Linked DNA regions of Oreochromis niloticus. The protein of the gene in region 1 interacts with the protein of each later gene in a pairwise test. Links are inferred from orthologs where the notes say so. Each region holds a gene or a part of one and is shown in the gene's direction. Other genes may lie near its edges.

What was found.
Region 2: the proteins of rab6a (region 1) and pmm1 interact in binary tests that used the Homo sapiens proteins (3 or more experiments, as listed by UniProt). The two-hybrid records come from large-scale screens. The link is inferred for Oreochromis niloticus from reciprocal best matches to the Homo sapiens genes RAB6A and PMM1.
Region 3: the proteins of rab6a (region 1) and protein bicaudal D homolog 2 interact in binary tests that used the Homo sapiens proteins (3 or more experiments, as listed by UniProt). The link is inferred for Oreochromis niloticus from reciprocal best matches to the Homo sapiens genes RAB6A and BICD2.

The regions. Positions count from the first base shown.
Region 1 is NC_031975.2:10,589,730-10,597,575, reverse strand, and holds the start of rab6a (ras-related protein Rab-6A), read left to right. Parts: upstream 1-4,770; 5' UTR 4,771-5,053; coding exon 5,054-5,123; intron 5,124-7,465; coding exon 7,466-7,524; intron 7,525-7,637; coding exon 7,638-7,691; intron 7,692-7,846. UniProt on the Homo sapiens protein: The small GTPases Rab are key regulators of intracellular membrane trafficking, from the formation of transport vesicles to their fusion with membranes.
Region 2 is NC_031969.2:9,512,786-9,519,768, reverse strand, and holds the start of pmm1 (phosphomannomutase 1), read left to right. Parts: upstream 1-3,954; 5' UTR 3,955-4,293; coding exon 4,294-4,377; intron 4,378-4,484; exon of another isoform or gene 4,485-4,539; coding exon of another isoform or gene 4,540-4,614; intron 4,615-5,419; coding exon 5,420-5,537; intron 5,538-6,495; coding exon 6,496-6,572; intron 6,573-6,773; coding exon 6,774-6,865; intron 6,866-6,983. UniProt on the Homo sapiens protein: Involved in the synthesis of the GDP-mannose and dolichol-phosphate-mannose required for a number of critical mannosyl transfer reactions. In addition, may be responsible for the degradation of glucose-1,6-bisphosphate in ischemic brain.
Region 3 is NC_031970.2:20,559,713-20,567,352, reverse strand, and holds the start of protein bicaudal D homolog 2, read left to right. Parts: upstream 1-4,626; 5' UTR 4,627-4,884; coding exon 4,885-5,124; intron 5,125-7,640. Other genes in the region: transketolase, read left to right, coding at 1-4. UniProt on the Homo sapiens protein: Acts as an adapter protein linking the dynein motor complex to various cargos and converts dynein from a non-processive to a highly processive motor in the presence of dynactin.

The DNA.
Region 1 (7,846 bases):
CCAGCAGAGAGTACAGTCAAACCACCCACCCACCCCCGTCACACCTCGGCTCCCTTTGACCTCTACACGTTGACCTGGCCGCTTATCAGTTAATCTCTGTGCACGTGAATGAATGAGTGTCTTCTCCTGGGCCTGTCCCGCTCTGCTCCTCTTCCAGGTGCTGAAGAGGTGCTGAGCTGATCGCCTCCCCACCACACACACACACACACCACTCCCCCACCTTCTCTCCCGTAGTCTCTCCCCCTCCCTTGTGCAGTGATGCTTGTCCTCCCCCTGCCGCACTACTCCGCTCTGCGCTACAGCATATGCTATAGCTCACTGAATGACAGCCATGATCACCCTCTGTTTTCCACTTGCCTCTGTTCTCCTTCCCCTCTCCTTCTTCTGTCCCTGCCTTTGTCCTCCACCTTACCCCCAGGGCACTCCTTGTACTTTAGCTGCACTCACTGCCATCGGTGCTCCTCTGCAATCGTCCTTGCATTGTGTAGAAGCTTTGCCTTTGCTGCACCCTTGCTACTCCAACCTAAACACACACACACAACACATACAGCTGATCCTCCTTGGCTCACCTCAGCAAACGGCACTGTAAACACACACACACACTTGCACTCGATGACAGCTCTGAATCCCACTCTCGCACTTCCTACTGAGGACTGCAGATCCACGCCAGCACACAAAGCTCCTGCCTGCTGAATGTCATTTCATGACTGGAGGAATGGTCGCTCCCACAGCTCTGAGTGCTACAAGGACCCATAAAAACCTGCATACACACACATGCATACACACACATGCACACACGCACGCTCAGAGACACACACTCAAACACGCTGCCACCCAGCCCCTCAGTAATAAATCAGCTGCTTTGCTGCATCCAGTGAGGCTGAACCCAGTCAATGTGCTGCAGACCTGCTGTCCTGTGTTGTCCTGTGTTGTCCTGAGTTGTCCCCCTGGCAAAATTCAGCACAGTCCAACACCAAGAGTCATGTCTTGCAGGGATGAAAAGCTGTCCTGAGAAACCTATTTCTGGGCTCCATCATCTTGCACCCCCCCTCCCTCCCGCCTCTCTCCCTCCTGCTCTCCTTCACCTTCGCTCTCTTCCTCCTTTTCCTCACGTTTGTTCTGCAGATCTGAGTCCTGCCAACTACCTCTGTCTCAGCGTTCGGTCCCCATCTCTGCTCTGTGCTCTCCCCTCTCTCCCTCTCTCTCTCTCTGTGTCTCAGCCTCGTTCATCGCTCTATCTCTGTCACACTCTGTGAGCATGCAACACCCCTCCTCCTCCTTTCATAGATCTGCTCTCTCTCATCCCTCCTTCTCGCCCTCCCTCCTTCCCTGCCTCCTCTTGTAAATGTGCTTGGATTGCTACTCTGATCTCTGCTTCGGTTATGCTTGCAAGAATGCCTCCCACTGTACTGCTGTGCCTGTTCCTGCCTGATGTTGCACAGAAAAGACGGAGTTGTGATCTAACTGCGCCTCCTGCCCTGTGTTCATTGCAGTTCTTTGTTCCAGTCTGGAAGCTCGACGGTGTTTCCCTTCACTTCAAATGCTCTCTTCCTGGTTTTTTCCCCCCCTCTCATCATCTAACCTCATGATTCCAGGAGGAGGATTACAGGAGAATTGTAGCTCTGCTCCACCCCATCCCCCACATATCCCCTCCCTTTCTCTATCTTACTGTATTGGGGATGACAACACACCTATTTTACCCTGGCCTAACCTTCATACCCCTTTTTTCCGATTTCCCCTTTTCATCTTCTCTCTGTTCCTCATCAGTCTCTCCTCCATTAGAGCCCTTGCGTTCAGTCTCCCTCACAGGAGAGATGAGCACAGTGTTGTACTTTGGTGTGACATTGACATTAGATCAAGGTGGTGTGGGAATGTGATGGTCTCCATCCATTACGCACATGGATACGGTCAGATTCATACAATAATGCACAAACATCCCCTATACACTGTCTCTATCTGAACAAGAGAAGAAAAAAATAAAGACTTTTTTTCCCCAATATGTGAGTCATAGCAAGGTTTTCCCATCTAGAAGACTGAGTCAAGTTTTGCAGAAGTAAATGGTGTGGTGGCCTGACATGAGACCAGCGCACCAGGATGAAGTCATGACTTGAGGTGACAGCTTCGATTCTTTTGCACCATGCTTCCTTTTAGTCATGCTCCTTTGATTCTGGATTACACGCTTTTCAAGCTGACAGCTCAGTTTCTTGCCGAATAAGGTGCGTGACTTTGAGGAGCTTCGGGGGAAATTTGATAGCACCTCCTCAATTCAGGGTGCTGATGCATTTTTCAAAAATGAGCACATTCAAAATGCACAAGCTCTACAGAGGTCTACAGCGCAATCCGTCTTGCTGTGCGCGTGGAAACACACGTGCCGCATCCCTCTGTATGCTTATGCGTGAGAGGCGGAGAATGACTGAGTGAGGGAGACCGGGAGCAATGGAGAATTTGTTAATTCAGCATCTTCAGCGGGAGGGGCGGGAGATTTGGGGTCTTTCCCTGGCCAAGGACATGTGGCGTAGGAGTGCTATTGAGGAGAGAAGAGGGAGGGGAGAGGCAGCCGGCTCAAGTTGATGGCTCAAGTTTAATGAGGCGCGGGTCGCAACCAGAGCAGCTGAAGGGCTGGCATCAGCCGGTCAGCTGCTCTGCAAAGAGACTTCAGAGCTGCATGGCACATGAATGAGAGCGGGGCGCAGGTGTGTCTTCTCTTCAGTGACTTAGAACAGCTGGCTCAAGCAGGCATGAACTCACATACTGTACCTACACACTAATAATGCATTGCCTTTTATACTTAAAACCCCTAAAATGTAAACGTAATCCAGGCTAGTGAACAGTAGGGTGAAGTCAGATGTGTTTCCTCTGGTTAATTAATAGTTGAAAAAAACACTTGCATCTGTAGGGTTCTGACATTTTAATTTATTTTCTGTTTCAGCTCATCTTTGATCTCATCAGGATGGGTATGTCCACACAAATAATACATGCCCTTACACAGCACATGTATCTTTAATAGGAATTATGTAAGAATTAAATTACCCTAACAACAAGGATGCTGGAATGACAAAATATTGAGACCAAAGATGGTTATCAGTCAGTGGGAGATTATAAGTATCTTGATTTGGTATTTAAATGACTGCAGGTAAAAAAGCAGAGGTGTAGTGTTCATTGCTGTATATGAGAGTGGATCATTTATATAATTTATTAAAACACTAACAGAATTAAACAGGTAGAATAAAGTATACTGCAGCACAAATTAGTGCCACGTAATTAAATCATGAAGCCTTCATGCCAGCATTTTCATTCATACATCCCTCTATCCATAATCATGTACCGTGTGTTTTATCGTTGTGTATAGTGTATTATTTTACTTATTTTGTATTTGTTTGTATTTTATTTGTATTTTTGTATTTTTCTTCTGCTATCTGCACCTGAGCTGAGGTAACGCACAAATTTCTCCACCATGGGATCAATAAAGTCTTATCTTATCTTATCTTTTCTGTCTTTGGGTGGAGTAAGTAAACCACCTTGTATGTTGCCTCGGGGCTTCATCCTTCAGGACAGCAGCTGTCTGATGAGCTGAAGGTCATGAGTAATCCAATAAAAGCTACACAGGGTCCTGTAAACATCACAGGCTGATACCAATTTTTTAAAAGTGTCCGACATAATAGAACTAACAAGTCAGACATCCACTTTCACAGCTACAAACTGCTACCCTCAACTGTGATTTAATTTCCTTCACAAGGACTCTTAATGCCAGTTGGCTTGATGCTAAATGGTTACCAGCAAAACCTGGCATTAATAGAGCGAATATAAGGCTGAACATGTGCACATTGCAGTGAGGTTTAAAAATAGGCTGAACAAAAAGAATGCCATTCTTTCAGCACCAACAGGACTGATTAACACTGTCGAATGCTATATGGGAGTGTTACACAGTTTCTTTAAACAACGTTTATTCTACATTGAAAAAAATGAAATCAAGTTTACCTAAAAACTCTGAGTAACAAAGAAAGAAATTCTAATGTAAATTTTACTCACTACTGGGGACTGTTTTTAATAGAAATAGTCATTTATTAGTGCTTGTTGTCTTCCTTAATCTTCTACTTCTGAAGGATTTCATCATAAGTGCTGACCCCGTGTTTGCGTGGGTTCCGGCTTCCTCCCACAGTCCAAAGACATGCAGTTAGTGGGGATAGGTTAAATGAAAACTCTAAATTGCCCATAGGTGTGAATGCGGGTGTGAATGTTAGTGCGAATGGTTGTCTGTGTCTCTGTGTTAGCCCTGCGACAGACTGGCGACCTGTCCAGGGTGTACCCTGCCTCTTGCCCTAAGACAGCTGGGATAGCCCCCCTCCCACCTCCCACCCCGCGACCCTGAACAGGATAAGCGAATGGATGGATGGATGGATGGATGTTAAAAAATGTTTCCATGTAATTTAACCATCGGTAAAAGTCACCGTCTAATTCTTTAGGTTTAAAAATTATTGGGATTCCCATTAAAATTGCTTAGTAGTGAAATCTCACCTGTGATGAAAGTACCCCCTCTAGTGGGCTTTAAAAAAACACACCCTGCCTTTTCCTTCTTTTTCAGCCTTAGCGCGGTAGTTTTTTTTCCCTCATAATGCTTCCAACTTTGTGAAATAAAAAAAAAAATCCACTGAATCATATGTATCAGTGCGTTGCTCTGCCAAAGGGGCAGTCTGGTTTTTCATTGTGGGTTTTTTGCTCCACCAGCAGAGGGCAGCACCGCAACATGCCAAGACACATCAATCCATAAAGTTGTATCTGAAGAAGAGTGGCCCGAGGTGGCTGGTTGGTTTGGTGTATATGACAGAGTAGAAGAGTAACGCTAACTTGGTCGCAGTAGTTAGTGAGGTGCTTAATATTGACTTGGACTTTGAAGGAATACGCTTCGAGCACAAAATTTCCTCAAGTCAGCCACGAGTGGGGCTGTTCATTTTCGCTGCTTCTGGACATTTGATAACTGACAACAACTGGTTAGTTAGCATTAGCTGACTAGCTAGGAAGCTCCCGAAAAGTAACGTCAAGGTTTGATTCAGTCATGTCTTCGGCCGGAGACTTCGGAAACCCTTTAAGAAAATTTAAACTGGTCTTTCTTGGTGAACAGAGCGGTAAGTCTGCTGGTAATTTTAAGTGTTGTGGGATGTAGGATTTAAGTTTTTTGCTCTGTTGGACATTTAGCTAACACCAGAGTTTGGTGGGTGATTAACGTCAACCAACTAGCTAGCTAACGTTAGCCACGTATCGTTAACACTTGGCAGTGATGGCATTACGATACAGTAACTTGTTACGAACAGTTTCTTCGCCTTGGCCTGATTAAAAAGGTGATTCATTTCCTTCAAAATGAGTCATGTCTGTGAAAATGGACTCTTACTTCAGTTGTGTGACGGGCTGTGATAACACATCATTAACGGAGGCATCGGAAATTACCAAGTGTCATTTAACAGGATGTTAAAATATGAAGCACCAGCATTATGTCTTCGTTATTGTAGGATAGGTGAACTCCAGTCATACCCTGCTGTGTTTAGAAGATGTTCATAATACTAGAGTGATCATAAATTCATAATTTCTACCCTGGAGCAACTTCCAAATTGGACGATCCTGCCAAGCAGCATTCCTGCGATCTCCCTACTAATTTACACTCCTTCAGTGTCTACACAGAGGGTTCGTGTGGGCTGTTTTTCATGTCTTAGGTAAAGCTGTGTGGCTGTTCGTTGTGTCGTCCGCGGTGTCCACAGATTTTAGGGTTTAAAGTAGAATTTGGATTATTGGTCCAGCGTTGTCTCTTTCTTTGGAATATACTTGCAACATATTTGAAGGAGCTGTTTCATGTTGCTTTATTAAAACAGTATGAAGTTGGAATTCTCGGTAAAGAGAAACTTGGATCAAACCTGAACTCAGATAGCCACCAAAGGACAATAGGGAAGACAAAAAAGGGGCTATTGTCAAGATGAGATTTTGCACCATTTATTCATAATTTTCCAGCAAGAAAGGAACAAAGAAGTCATGGCTTCTCCTGCTGTGATGTGAGAAGAATAACAAACCCAATCACTCACAAAAAAGGAAGCTAAATACATAATAAACATCTAAGCTGAAGAAATTACAAGAAATGTCAAAACCATTACATTGCACAAATATTTATTATAAGACATACCCAAGAACATTAAAAAATGCAAACGTAGAAAGAGTCCCTGCATACCTTTTTCCCAAAATATAAAACTTGTCTTTCAGTCGCACTGTGCCATAGACTGTATATAAAATAATACAGATCTCTTTAGAAAAGATGTGAGTTGAGAAGCTGCTGTGATAAATGAAACTAGGAAAGAATTAAGGAAGCAATAAGGAAGCCAAAACTTGATGACATTATTGACAAAACTGTAATAAATGTTTTTGCTATAATATGACCCGTAAGTCCCACCAAGATGGGAAAGACACACTGCGTTTTTCGGACAGTCTGTGATAAGCTGTGGCTCCTTTAAGCCTTGTAAACAGCAGTGTTGTCTGTAGCCCTGTCACCATCCCTTGATGGACATTGTAACTGATAATGTAACTCGAGCTCAGCAAAAACAGTCTGAGAACTGGCAGCACTGTGCGAGTACTCAGAGCTGCTGTGTGACTGTCCCTGATGTGTTAAAGGTATTCATAAATGTTTTTCTATGAGATTAGAAAAAAATTGAAGCATTTTACAGCTGCAAAGTTTGTAAAGCGTAGTTTTGTGTGTTGAACAACATTACAGAGTTTCATATTACATATGGACACAAACCCTCCATTGTGGATCAAATCAGCACCCTGGATACACTGGTGGGGGGAGTTCAGACATAAATGGCAAACTTTGCTTACAGCCCTTTTTCTCTCTGTGCTTTGCTCAACCCTCTGACTCCTGAATTACTTTGAACAGCTGTGCACTACACGCTTAGTGGACAAGAGGTCTGAAGAGGGCAGTGGGAGTTGTGTGACATGAAGCTGCTTGCTTTACTCTGTTATTAGTGGTCATCATCTGTGGAAAAGGGCCACAGCAGCTGCTTCGGGTTGAATAACTTTAAACACATTTCATTTCTGCAAGCTTTCAGAGATCTGCGTAGTTTTTATTTAGCCCTGAAATAATTATTTTGCTTACAGCTGAAATTATTAGTGAACTTACTTGATTACCAGAATCCTATTGGCTCCAGTTAAAGGCAGCTGGCTTGCTTTATGTTATTGCAAATTAGATATGTTTAGGTTTTAGACAGTTGGTCAGATAAAATAATCTGTTTGAAGACTTTGGGTGCTCAGAAAGTGTAAAAAGCATTTTCAGTTTTAAATTTTCTTCTAGTTGGGGGGAAATGTAGAATAGGTTCAGTTATAGAGGCAGTTCTTTTTTCCAGGGGAAAAGATGGACCTAATTCTTCTCCAAAATCAAAGTGATCGTGTGGTCATTGCACTCTTTAAGAGTTTCTTGTTTGTGTTTGTGCAGTGGGAAAGACTTCATTGATCACCAGGTTCATGTACGACAGCTTCGACAACACCTACCAAGTGAGACTTAACACCTCCACTTTTAACTTTAATAATCATTGATGATGCCTGATATCAACAGCAATACTCATTGGAAATGACTGTGAATATTTGGTTGATTCTTTTTTTTTCAGGCCACAATAGGAATTGATTTCCTGTCAAAAACTATGTATCTTGAAGACAGAACAGTAAGTTTATTTTTGTCACATCCAGTAACTCTGTTTTTGTTTTTCTTCTTCTTGTTCAGTTGCTTTTCTTTAGCCACTGAACTGGGCTCTTTCTAACACACACAGAGACAGCATTTGTACATTGCTACTGTGATCAGGAGTGTTGTATCCCCCTT
Region 2 (6,983 bases), on another chromosome or scaffold:
AAACCGTCCCCCCGGTGTCTCAGTGAGCCTGCCCCTCTGAAATGACTTTATTGATGTGTCTGGGAGGAGTTTGAGATGGCGGCCAGGGGTTATAGCCAGGGGGCTTTTTCTAGTAAGTCAGGTAGGTGAGAATTTCCGGTCACTTAGGGTCGCAGGTTTTGAGCGAGGGTGGTGGCCATAGCCCCCAAACAGCTGTTTCACAGAGATCAGGTTAAACCAGACCTCCTCCACTCTCTCACTGGTCAAAGCGAGAGCCTGCCTTTCTGAAATTGCTTTACTAATCAGTGGTTTTTCCCAAAAGGCTAGGGCCACCTCTAATTTTAAATTGCTTTATTGGTGGATCAGGGAGGACCCCCAGTTCGGGGGTCACACTGTGAGTCAGAGAGATTGTCATTTTACCCACACTGGCTGCTGTGTGAAGAAGCATTTTACTTTTCTCTGGGATGCTCGCTCCTATACAACCGTCTCCCACTGAGGGGGAGTGTTTGTAAGTCTTTGATTCTGATTTTCCTTGTTTGGATTAAACAAGTGCAAATGAAATGTAATAAAGCTTTCCATCAGGCACGCAGCCTCCAACTCTCCCCATCCTCACTATTACAAAAGCACCGGTTTAACTAAGAATAACTTAAATTTAACTAGAGTCCAACTGATATATAAATAATGGAGCCAATTTGCCAATATATCAGTACTCCCACTTACAACAGCCGAAAGATGAATATTAAAAAAGTAAAGAGGAAGTCAGAGAAATGCCCTGCAACACGGGTGTCAAACATAAGGACCCAGGGCAAGATTTCAGTCTGACTTCAATCCTGCCCACGGCATAGCTCTGGAAAATGTGAAGGAAAACATTTTGGACTTCTAACTGTATTTTCATAGGTTTTACAGCTTTTGCTACATTTATCTTACATCAAAGTAATTAAGTAATAGAAAACAATCAAATGACAGAAAACTTCTTATTTTTCCCCGTTTTTTCTTTTTTGTGAATTAACAAAAATCTTCTTATTTATACTTACAGCCCAGTCTGGGCAATGAGCTCCCAGACTCTTAGTCTGCATTTTTACATATGTAGAGAATAGCTTAATCCCGCAGAGTCATGCTGACTGATTTCTTTCTTTGCTGGAGCAGCATTTCTTCATCATGTAGAAAAACAGAGATGTGCAGTTGAAATTAGACTTCTTTTTCTATTATGAAGATATCTCAGGGATTAAATGTGTACATTGACAGAAATTGGAATTTCACTAGTGGTGCTTTGTGTGTGTTTGGCACGATATAAATGAGCTGAACTGAACTGAATTGGTCTGGCTTGTTTAAGATCAAAGTCGACTACATGTGGAACACAATGTAAAATGAGGCTAATGTCCCTGTCCTACAACTATGCTATGACTGATATTGCATAGTTTGTCCAACAGAGGGCACTCTGCAACTTCCCATTTGGAAAAGGGTATTTTGAAGGCCACAAACAACCAGCTGAGTAGTCCAGAGCATAAATTAATTTAGACACAGCCCCCAATTTTCAGAGATTTAAATGTAACCAGACAAACATACATAATTTTAAATATCAGAACTGGTTTTTTAATAGTAGGATGAATTTACAGAGGCAAAACTGCAAAATAAGGCTATTGTGCAAATATTTAAAGAAATAACTGCAACAAATGCAGCAAACCTGCCCATGGTCAGGAGACAATGACCAAATCAAAACCAGGGTTCAGGTAATTTGAGCCTGAGGACATGAATATAAAGTAAATGCTATTTGTCATCTATTATAGGGTTATAAGAACAGAATTATCACATTTTTCCCTTATTAATTATTGTATTACTACATGGTCACAGTCTGGCAGTGCTTTACAGTCTCTATACTAGAACATTGAAAATGTTTCAGAAAGTTTTACATTAGTACAACTTACTGTGCTTTGAAAACATTAATGTTTGGTTTTTTTAACAAAATGTTACACAATATGTCTATTAGCACTAGGACAGGGCTGTTCAACTAAAGTTTAAAGAGTTCCAGTTAGACCAAAGGTCCGGATGGTCACATATATATATATATATATGTGTGTATACATATATATATATATAGATATATATATATATATATATACATATGTGTGTGTGTGTGTGTAGTATATATATATATATATATATATATACATACATACATACATATATGTATATATGTAAAAAACCTATGTAAAAAACCTTTCTTACAATGTTTTGGTCAGATAAAAATATATGGGTTTTTTAAAAGTTTTTAAAGTTGCTTTAAAGATTGAGCCAGGAACTACTCAATCTACAGATTGGTTTAAACCATGGGTGTCGAACTCCAGGCCTCGAGGGCCGGTGTCCTGCAGGTTTTAGATAACACCCTAGGTCAACACATCTGAATCAAATGATTAGTTCATTACCAGGCCTCTGGAGAACATCAAGACATGTTGAGGAGGTAATTTAGCCATTTAAATCAGCTGTGTTGGATCAAGGAAACATCTAAAACCTGCAGGACACCGGCCCTCGAGGCCTGGAGTTCGACACCTGTGGTTTAAACGAATGGCTAACTCTTGCATTTACAGAAATGTTTATTAATGCACATTATCCCTGTTAAAAATTTAAATAGAAAATAGAATGCAAAAATCTAATATAGAAAACCTTAAGTATCTATTACAAAGATGCATTTTAAATACATGTCAATACATCCAGACAAAACAGAAGAGCTCCCTATGCATTGTGAAAAATATCCCTGGATCATAATTCTGACCAAGGGCGTAGATTTGGTTTTGGCATTGGTGGGGACGGATGACTCAACCACCGAACCCTGCCCTGTTTCTTTTTTTTTTTTCCTTTTTGTCTTTGCTTCTTGATAAAAAAAAAGGAGAAATATACGTGCCTACATATGCTATTCTACATGCTTTTAAACCATTTAAAATTACAATTCATAGTTTTATATGTGAATTATATAATGTTCAATTACTATTAAACAAATGACTAAGTATTTTAGACTTTAGTTTACTTCAGCCATATTCCATATAAATCAGGTATCATACAAAAATAAAAAAAAGCTTGAAATAGAGTCATGACAATAAAAGAATATGACTTCAAGGACTTAAAAACATTACTTCAGTTATAATACACCAACATCTCTTACACATTAGTACTAAGGGAACACTGAATGACCTGGTGGTTTTTGTCCATAAAACTACTCATCTAAGATTACCACAAAGTAAAAGATCTCGCAGCAAAATTATGCAACATTTTAGGCACACTGTTGCCCCGATCAAATCAGTGAGCTGGGACTTTTTATTCTAAACATGAACTACTGTTACAGCAACACACATGGATTACTGGTGCCCCACACAACAACTCAATGTCCACTATGTGAAGGAGTCTATACTATACTGTCTATACTATACTGTCCTGGTGGACATGGCAACACTTTTTTCATGGTTACATACAGTTTTAGACTGATGTGGGCCAAAGCCTAGCACATACTTGCCAACCTTGAGACCTCAGAATTAGGGAGACATTCAAAGGGGTTTTCTGACATACTGCAAAAACACAAAACTCTGGAGGAATGTGAGAATTAATTCATCTGGATCTGTAACAAACTCAGCCTGATAAACAGAAATGTTCTCTCAAAGCATATTTTAGAAATACTGTGGCTTAATTTTCTAGAAAAACCTGCATCATATGATATCCTGCTGCTATTAGCAGACACTCTGGGCTTCCGCAGTTGCAGTCAACACTGTTATTCAGACGCTTCTCATAAACAAAGCTTTGATCAGTGCTTTTACCAAACATCCTCCTTGTTCCAACCACCACTTCAGCTCCTGCTCATCGCTTGTAGGTGAAAGGTCATCGGCCGTTGAATGGCGAGTAAATTAACCTGCCCCGCCTCCTGACGTCACGTATGTCCCCCGGCTGTGATTGGCTGGTCGTTTAATGAGCGCTGCAGAACAGAAACAGAGAAATCCAACACGTACGGCACGCTGCGTGTGTTGAAGTGTGAGCAGAGCTGCCTCACTGAGCCAAGCGGACCCGAAACAAACCAGCAGGACTGCGGCTCAGAAGAAAGATAAGGGAGAGAAGAGCCTCGCACTGAGAAAGATAATCATCCTTATTTATAAAGCTGGAAGCTCATTTTATATTTTTATTTTGTTGGTTTTTACACTGCAGCTGATAGCGGATGTATTTTTTTCTTTATGTAAATGAGATATTTTTATGCGCCTCTTTGCACGAGAGTGGACCTTGCAGTAGCATTTCTGCTGAAAATCTCTAGATAAGAACAGTGAGGGAGAAGAAGAGATGGAGAAAGCACAGGGCTTCTCTCCGGACAGAAACGTCCTCTGCCTGTTTGATGTGGACGGCACTCTGACACCACCGAGAGAGGTGAGCTCGCTTCCCATCGATAATGTTATTATTATTGTTATCGGTTATGATCAGCTTTCATGACAGCTCTCTCCTCTTCTGCCCTCATCATTTGCCTCTAATGAGAGGTACCTCACTTTACCTCACTGTAGAGAGAACATCAGAGGAGAACATGGTGTCCTGATGACTTCACGTGCTCTTTCTCACAGTGTTTACTTTCCTTTTTGCGCTCTTTGCGCCTCCTGTACACATACCCAGGTACTGGTCTGCGGGGATGCACATGGGTGTATATCTTCAATGTTATATTAATGGTGCTCCAGGGCGATCTCTGCAACTGACCAATCACAGGGCTGTGATGTCATAGTTGCAACTCGGAGAAAAAGACAGAACAAAAGTGCAATAACTGCCAACCAGGAGGTTTCAGTCCAATGTGAATTCAAACCTGGATTCATTATTTTAGGTGTTTTTTACAATTTAATTTCAAAGTTTTTAACCTTTCACAACATCAACTGTGCATGAGAAAGCTGTTCTATCATAAGTTACTGAAGGCAGGCTTCGCCATTCAGCTGCAAAGCCTCTCAGTGAGGTACACATCTTGCTGTGCAGAATATCTCGTAATGCATGGCTCAGCTGGCTTATTGCAGGAAATTTAAAATAACCATTTTTATTACCACTTATGTAAGGGTTAATGGGGCCTTTGGTTTTTGTATCTGGAGCATTTGATTTGTGCACACTCTCTTGTTCTTTTGTCTTTGACTTTCTATGCTCAGGTTCATGCAGGGTCACTGATGTGTGTGCATGTGTGTGCGCGTGTGTGTGTGTGTGTGTGTGTCTAGGACGCGTCAGCGCCCGGATATTGCATAATGTGGTCTCCTTTGAGTGCAGCTCGGGGAGTTTTCTTCCTTACATCGGGAAATTTTAAATCTGCTCCAAATAAATGACACTACATCTCTTTGCAAGACAGACTGAGCTTGTTGTTGATGCCAATATGTGTGTGTGTTTAGGTGTGTTTGTGTCATTAAAACATAAAGTGTTAATTAAAGTGTGCTTTTCCCGTTTGTAGAAAATCGACCCGGAGCTGGATGAGTTCTTCCAGACTCTGCGGAAGAAGGTGAAGATCGGCATCGTGGGAGGGTCGGACTACTCGAAGATTGCAGAGCAGCTTGGGGAGGGAGATGATGGTGAGTGGTCCTCTTCCTGTCTCAGCCACAGATGCTTGCGAGCTCCATCACCCAACATGCCGTGACACAGGGTGCAAGGAGTGGAGCTGAGGTTATGATTAATTCTGGAAGTAATTTTGGATTTAAGCTGCAAATTAATCTAAAGCAAGCATCCTTCTAAAAGTGAGACCTGCCACAAATAAATAACAGCGCAAGCTGGTTGGGCCAGTCATTAACTTCATGTGTGTTGCAGTTGATGAGAATGGGTTAGTAAATGTCTCACAGTGACTAACAGGTCAAAACATGCTAAGCCTAGTCGCCCTGCACTGTGACTACCATCTGATCTCTCATGGTATGTTCACTTCACTTTATGATCTTGTGATTCCCCAAACCAGCAGCCAAAGCACACATCGTAACACTGGGCATCGCACCAGCAGCCTCTCAGCTGAGTTCACGCCCAGCTGCAGCGGGCAGGCTGATAACCTGCCTGTCAGTAAATATGAGGTTACTGCTGGAATGCAGCTGCATTGTGCCTAAAAAGAGCTAGGCAGTTTCATTTACCCTGCCAAGTGTGCCAAAGGTGAACCCTCACTTACTTTGTGTTACAATGTCACAGGTAAATATTAACATTGCATATATGAAATTCGATACAGTTGTTGTAACTAACATGTTTTTATGCAGTTCTACATGCTTTTGTTTTACTGGCTTTTGCCACTGTTCAAGTTATAAAAGCGGCTTTAACACAGGCTCAGCTACAGAGCTTCCTCGATGGCTGTCATTGTCTTAGCACAGAGTGAGTGTGAAAGTCAGGAGGATTAAACTCGTCCAGCCAGCGTTACATACGCTTTAATCTGCTGTTGGGTAAATATAGCAGGTATGTCTTCAGATTAGCGAAGGACCTGCTCCAAATTTAGTATGTAGGCTAAAGAGAAATAGATGAGCACATTTAGGTACATTTGACCCGTCTCTTCTCTTGCAGTGATACACAAGTTTGATTATGTGTTTGCTGAGAATGGGACGGTGCAGTACAAAGATGGGAAACTCCTCTCAAAACATGTGAGTGCTCCTATACTGAGATACATGTTTTTATGTCCTGAATCAAAAAATAACAGTAAAAAGAATACAAGTAGAATTGTAATGAAAGGAAGATTGCACAAAAGCATAAACAAAGTAATTTGCTGTCATAAACCATGTTGTAAAACTTAGTTATACTCCATTTGTTTACCCGTGTCATTTCGTGTACTTTAATCCCTGCAGGCCATTCAGAACCAGATCGGGGAGGAGCTGCTGCAGGACCTGATCAACTTCTGCCTCAGCTACATGGGACTCATCAAGCTGCCAAAGAAAAGGTGAGATAGTAAAAAGAGCTCACAAGAATTAGGCTACAAGCTATTTTAACCTAAGGCAGAAAGACAAACCTGAATTCCAGCTTTGCAGGAATGTGAGGTATTTTAGCACTGACCTGAG
Region 3 (7,640 bases), on another chromosome or scaffold:
GTAACCACCTACCTATCCAATTACACCCCTGAAGATAAGGCTAAGTAGTCAAATATGTTTTCGATTCACATGGCACCCAACTCTTTGATTTCGTTCACAGTGAATACCCCTAAGTGTGTAGGCTACTAAAGTAATGTGATTTTGTGCTGTACACATTAGAGTTCCATGTTTGCCTTCCTTTTTGTGTATTTATCACCAAAACTGAGACACACAAATTCATGCAACATGCATATCCTCACTGATAATACCAGCGTTGTTATAGACCCATTTCAATGATAGAAATGTGGACATAACTGACATTTTCATTGGTGGATGCTCACTATTAAAAAAAAAAAAAAGTCCGGTATTACATGTCTGCTGTGTGATCCTCTAATGTGTTCTTAATGCTCCTGGATTCATTCAACTGGCAGTGGTTTTATATTGTTTTGCTATAGCTTGTAATACTGAGTGGGGCATAGTTTTCAAGTCGGTGTTTATCATAGAGTGTGTGTGTCAGACAGAAACTAAATGAGTTGTTGTTGTGAAAGACTTTAGGAAACAAAGTGAAAGAAATGTGTACACGTCATAAAGAGCAGTCATGCAGAGCCAGAATTTAAACATTCAGATGATTTCACTTTCATTTTTGTAGTTTTTAAATTTGTTTCTATTCAGCAATGTCTTTTGTTATTGAAATTTCAGTTACCGTAAACCAACACACCTCAGTGTTCATTTGTGCTCTAGCACTGCTTTTGGACCTCAACAGCAGTGTAATCTTTACACAACGTGGAGCAAAGAAGAGCCACCAGTGCTGATAGAGGATACAGTGGGCTGTGATGTTGAATAGCTAGTTACGTCCAGCGTGTCAGCCTAAGAACAAACACTTTCTTTGTTACTTGAAATTTTGTATGTACCATACTTTCATGTAATAAAGCCCTCTGCATTTGACTTTTACCATTTACAATAGTTTCTGTTCGCCTTTGTGTTGACGTGTGTTATTTAAGCACTGCTCATAAACAGCAATCTGCAACTATAATGGGAAAGTATCTATGAAATTTATGAACAGCCATCAGTGTTAGCATGCATTGGTATGAGACAGTCCCATCTTATGAAAGTCAGATGAACTTCAGTGTACTGGTATAATATACATTCACAAGTTTGCAGAGACATTTATAGTGGAAAAAAAGAGGAAACTACAGTGTTTGTTTCTACAGTGACATAAAACGTCACCATCTCATCATCTTAAATACCACTTAAATAGCTTCCTGTAAATCCCCCCACTGTAATTTTAAAATCACCACCACCAGGTTCTCGTTCTCTCTCTCTGCTCCCTGTTCAAAACAAACAAATGCATTTTTTTGGGTCATACAAATCCCAACTTTCAAAAACATTTAAAAACATTGAATGAATTCTGCAGAAGTGCTCCTAAAACTTGTACTAGCATGCCCCCTTCAGGAGCGAATAAAAAAAATAATGACATCCACCACCACACAATTCATATGAGTCATAATCGATTAAAAAAATGAGTTTAATATTTAGTTAAATGAAGATCAGAGCCATAATATAAGAAAACCCGTGTTTGTTTGTAGATCAAGCATTCTGACTGAACATCTTTCCTCTCCATATTTCCCACTGGCCTTCTACACTCTAAACTTTGATAAGCACTGCTCTTTAAACAGTCTGTATTCTACAGGAAGAATGTGCAAAAATAGTTTTTGAAGAGGACAAACCTCAGAGAGCTGTATTTCCGTTTTGCTCCTCTAAGAGCAAACGTTATGATTCCACATCCATACGATAGTGTGTAAACTGAAAAACACATTATTTAACCACAGTTAAAACAGTATATCCCCTGAGTATCTGAATATTCCATGTATTATATAAAGTCTTATATTTAAAGTATTGTGGTCTTACCATGATATGAGTGGAGGTGCAAGAAAGCAACAAATAGTGCAACAGCAAATCCCCAGTAGGTATCTAAGGAGAGTTTGATGGTAATGTTTAGCTTTTATACAAAACCAATCTAAATATGGACTCTGATGTAAGATTAGGATTCTGTCTTTGATATAGCAGCGGGAAGTACCTCTGTTGTCGTAGGGAGCACCTTTACATCTTTTAGTATGGGCAGGCAGGTCTGAGCAGGGTAGAAAAGTCAAGACAGACATTGTGACAAGCAGAACCTGCAGTGCATTATGTAAAATTACATTTTTCTTTTTGGAAAAACATTTCGCTTTAAATTTTGGTGTGAATTTTATAAAAAATTCTACTTACCAGTAAAAATGCCCAGAATCTCAAACGCTATGGTGCAAAATATACCAAGACATACTGGAACTGCGAGTGCTGAAAGTGAAAGCAAAAATAATAAATGGGTCGTTATTCAGTCTTGGCTCAGCCAGAGGTTAATTACTTTGAACAGCGGCTTAAAAAGTGTAACTTACTTCGAAATGGCCTATAGAAAGCCATTCCACATCCCAGTCCAAAGCAGATTGAATAGAAATGGTAATATTTATCTGAAATGTTCAGAATAATAGGTTTCAAATGAATATTCTACAGAAAGGAACATCTCTGCCAAATCTGTTGATAATAAATAAACATAATAAATATACATACAGTGTTGATAAAAGTCAAAAATTAACTTCCTTTTGTACTCCTGAAAAAGAAATGATCAATAGGTTGATGGATAAACATACAACATGCTGCTGATAATAGGAAATAAGAAAAAACAGCATGTGAGAGAAAGTGAAAGCAGCAATGTACACACTGTTTAGACACACTGTTATAAATATAACAATGTGCCTACACAGAGCAAGAGCTACAATCGTAGATAGAAAACCTCAGCGAAAGGCAGAAACACAGGTGTACACACCATTTCAGCTCAGCTGCTCCTGAAGTCCCCAGGCAGGTGTAGCAATACAAAACAATCAGCATTCAGTAGACAACTTCCTCAAACTACTGCCAAGGACTGTCACTACCATGGACGGAAGTCCCGCTGACACAGTTTTTCTTTCACATTCACGTGTGTCAAAGGTTAAAAACAATAAGACAGTGCTCTGTCACCTTGTGAACTACTAGATTTGAATCATGTCCTCAGTTGTTTGGCATTCAAATAAATTTTTTTTTAAAGCATTTTTTTTTTTTTTTACTGTAATTTACACATAAATACACAAAAAAGCTGACAGTCTTTGCACTCTTTGATCACATAACCACAACCTGGTGTCAGTCCACGTAGTTCATGAGCAGATTTAAGTCAGGGATAGAGACCTTCTGACCATTTAACAAGACTTCTAAAAGTACTTAATTGCCCGCTACTTTTATAATAAACTTTTTCCATTTTCTAATAAAGAAGGAAAATAAACAAAATATTAAATATTTTTTTGTGATTTTTTAAAATATATATATATATATATATATTCATTAGCCCCCTTTTTGTCAGCTGTACATCCATGACCCAAATCTCCCATTGTATCACATCCCAAGGGTGCTCTATTGGATTGATATCTGATGACTGTGGAGGTCATTTGAGTAGAGTGAACATGTACAAGAAACCAGTTTGAGATCATTTGAAGATGGTTATCCTGCTGGACACAGTCAATAGAAGATAGCCACAGTGTAAACAGATGGACATGGCAAACAGCAGAATTCAGATAGACTGTGGCATTTAAATGATGCTCAGTTAGTACTAAGTACCCCAAAGTGTTCCAAAGAAAAAATCTCACACACCATTGCGCCATCAGCATTAGCATGAGCAGCTGATATAAGGCAAGATGGATCCATGCTTTCATCTTATACCAAATTCTGTCCCTACTATCAGAATGTTTCAGCAGAAATTAAGACTTATCAGATCATGCAATGTTTTTTCCAGTCGTCTATTGTCCAGTTTCCTGTTCTTAGCTGCCACTTGTGTGGAACCCGGTGTGGTCTTTTGCTCATCTTCTTCAACGTTGCACGAGTTGTGCATTTAGAGATGCTGTTCTGCACACCTTAGTTGTGGTGAATTGCCATTTGAGTTACTGTTGCCTTCCTATGAGCTTGAAGCAGACATCAACCATGCTCACTGGATATTTTCTCTGTAAATCCTAAAGATGGTTGTGTGCGATAATCTCAGTAGAGCAGCAGTAAAGTACTCAAACCAGCCCGCCTGACACCATCAATCATAAAACTTAAATGAAATTCACCTAACTCACCTTTCTTCCACATTCTGATGCTCAGTTTGAACTTCAGCAGATAATATTGGCCATGTCTACATGCCTGGATGCATTAAGTTGCTGCCATGTGATTGGCTGATTTGATATTTGCGTTTATGAGCAGTTGAACAGGTGTACCTAATAAATAAAGTGACTGAAGATCATATTTCTATAATTAACTAATCTATTGTTCATTCGACAAGTGAGTATAACGAAAATACCCATAGACTCTAATAAAGATCCTAATTCCCAATGTAATTATAGTTGCAATTTCACTATTGATTCTCTAGATGGCGTTTCAGTAAACTGTGGGGTCCTGTCTCGACAGACGCAATGCATTCTGGTACTTGTAGTCAACGCGGCTTCAGAAGCAAGGAGTACTTGAGGTGGCGCGCTTCACTTAAAACTACATTTCCCTTCGTAGTCACGCTGATTTGAATGCCGTGTAGGGGGGAGCTTTTTTTTTCTAATCGATGATCTCAACTGAAGTTTCCTCTGTCAGCTTCAAGAAGGGACAGAAAAATATCGAGAATGAGCAAACTGTTGTCCAGTTTAAGCTCCGTCGAGGTCCGCAGTGAGAGAAAGCCCGGGAAACTAAACACAGTTTAAGCCCAACAATGCGCCCCAAACAAAGAAGGCAGTGATTTGCGGTCTTGGTGGTTTGCTCCGCTGCTCCCGCTAGTCAGGGCTGGGTCCCGTTACAGTTGGGAGTCGGCGGCTCGCCAAGATGTCTATGGAGGAGCAGGAATATCCTGAGGCGGTACTGGTGACAGAAGCCGGGCCGCAGTGGCTCCAAGCCGAAGTGGAGCGTCTGACCCGGGAGCTTCGCGAAACGACCCAGGAGAAGATCCAGGCGGCTGAGTATGGGCTGGCGGTGCTGGAGGAGAAACAGCAGCTAAAGCAGCGATTTGATGAGTTGGAGACGGACTACGAGACGGTCCGACAGGAATTGGATCAGCTGAAGGAGGTAACCCGAGGTCACCGCCACGCAGCCAGATATAAGTCCTGGCATCAGTCAGTATGTGAAGGCGAGGAGAGCAACTTAGTGCATGTTATAATAGTAGCACGGTGGGAATTTAGAGTGACATCGGGGATCAAACTAGAAGCAGTCGGTAGTGGGGTTTGCTTCCTCTGAGCCCCAGCCCCATGTCTATTTATATCCCTCCTGCCTCCTCAAATATTATATGAAGTTTGAAATATGCATAACCACCTCCAAGCAGAAATATTGCAGTGTTACCTAATGTTGCCTCGCCTTAAAGGATGAAAACTGTCATTAGTTTGGATTACTTGCCTTTACTTGCTCCAAAGGCTGAGGCCTTGAAATCAGACTGTAGCTGCAGTGGCTTATGTCACATTTAAGCCTGTTTGGCCAATTTGCTGTTAACCTGTTTAAAAATAACATAGAAGTTTTTCCAATGGTGAAATCACTAAAAAAAGAAGTTAATAACCCTGAATATCTGTGTTTCTTTTCATCTCCTAATAGCTTGTCTGTTGAGACATTTTTAACCCACAATGTCAGCCAACCCCTAGGCCCTTCAGTTTCACTGTAGAGGAATAACCTCTACAGCTAAATATGACAGGTGGGCGAATCTATGAATCTAGTAAACATTAAGCTAAAGAAAGATAACTTGGCAACACTTTTTCACAGCAACTCATAAGACGCACCACCAGCCACTAAGATCCTAACATGTGGGAAAATCTGTCTGTATTTCATTAGAGAATAAAGAAGTGTGTGTGTTGGGGGTGGTTGGGAACTTCCCTTCAGTTCAGTCTTAAGACTGTTGTCACATCCAGTCTGTCAGTCAGTAGAGGAAATGCATCCTAAAGCACTTCCACATTGCTGTCTGTCAGCTGTATGTCTAAATGTCCAATTTCTATTATTAGTGTCCTTCAGTGTTTGTGTTCACGTGAAATGGTGATAGGTCATTGTGTGTAGGCTGGGCTTAAATGGGTCGCAGTCTTATTAATACCTTTATACAGGAAATCTAGTCTAATATCATGAAATGTAAATTAAAAAGGAGGATGTGAGATTTTTGCCACTACCGGGAATTTTCTGGTTTATAGATTATAGTTGCATCACGAAGTGACTAATTGTTGTGGTCATTTACTTAGTATCTCATGACTGTGACAGTTTCCCCTTACTACAGTACATCGCTGAGTAGTGAGGTAGGTAAAGGAATCGTCCATCCTCGTCCTCTATCAGCCTCCTATCGATTCACATCATCATGACTGACCATGACTATGATCCTAGTTACACAGATCTGTTTGTCTGACTGAGAATTGGCCGGAAAAAGACATCTAACTCTACAGTGGGTTCCATTTGCTGTTACGTAACTGTTGACTTAATGTGTGTTTGGCTGTTTAGTAGGTAATTGTGCAGATATGGCATCAAATTATTCATCAGTTTACTGCTATTCTGAAAATTAGTTCACATTGCACCTGCTTAGTAAAACTATTCAAGTGACATTTTGCAAAAGATTCCAAAGACTGTTCCTAGTAGCTAGTTAAACATTGAAAGTAAAACACATGCTGCAGCTTTGGGAATATTGCTTGCCATTTATCCAATCTGTTTTAAAGTAGATAAATATTTATTTTATAATATCAAAGCAATATCTGTACAGATTTGTCTTTGATGATTATTTGAACAGTGTTTTTTAATTGCAGAAAAACACAGACCTGTCAAAATGTCAATAAAATTAAAATTTCTGCCAGATTTTGAAATTTACATTTGAGTACTTTGTAATCCTCAAGTGACTGAACTGTTTTACCAAGTGGTGGTCATGTATGAAGCTAGAGTATTTGATTTTATACTGGATACTTTTTTTTAAAAAGATTCTATATTTTAACATAATATTCTATCATTTATTTATGGCAGATATGCTGCAGTGCTCTATTTTTATTAGTTATGGTTTTATGTATTACTAGGCTTCAAGCATTTACAAATACACTTGAAAGCAGTTAGTTTTGTTGTTTATGGCCTTGTAATTTAATTATCAAAAACAATGAAAGTCGTCACATCCACTTTTTTTAGTCTATCTTTGTGATTATGCAGATTGTACTGTTCTGTATCCTCTAGTAGAGCATGACTGCTGTAAGAGTGTCACTTCACTATTGTAGTTTCTCACAAACCATCTCGTATTCTGTTACAGTATAATTGTTGTCTCTGCTAGTTTCAGTATTTATCGGTATTTCATGTTTGATGTTTTTTGTGCTAATGAATGTCTACATTTCATTTGGGATCCATAAAGGCTCTGTCATCATCATCGTTAAATAGAGAAACAAATTCATGTTAGGAAACATTTTATCATTAGAAAAATCAGTTTGGCCAAAATTGTTGTTTGAATAAGTTTCAGATGTAATCTGTGTTTGCAGCAAAACTCTTCTGTAACAAAAAAACCCAAAGAAATAAACACAGTGAATGTAACATGTAACCATGCATCCCCAATTTAACTACAATTTTATTTAGAGTGATGAGTAAGAACC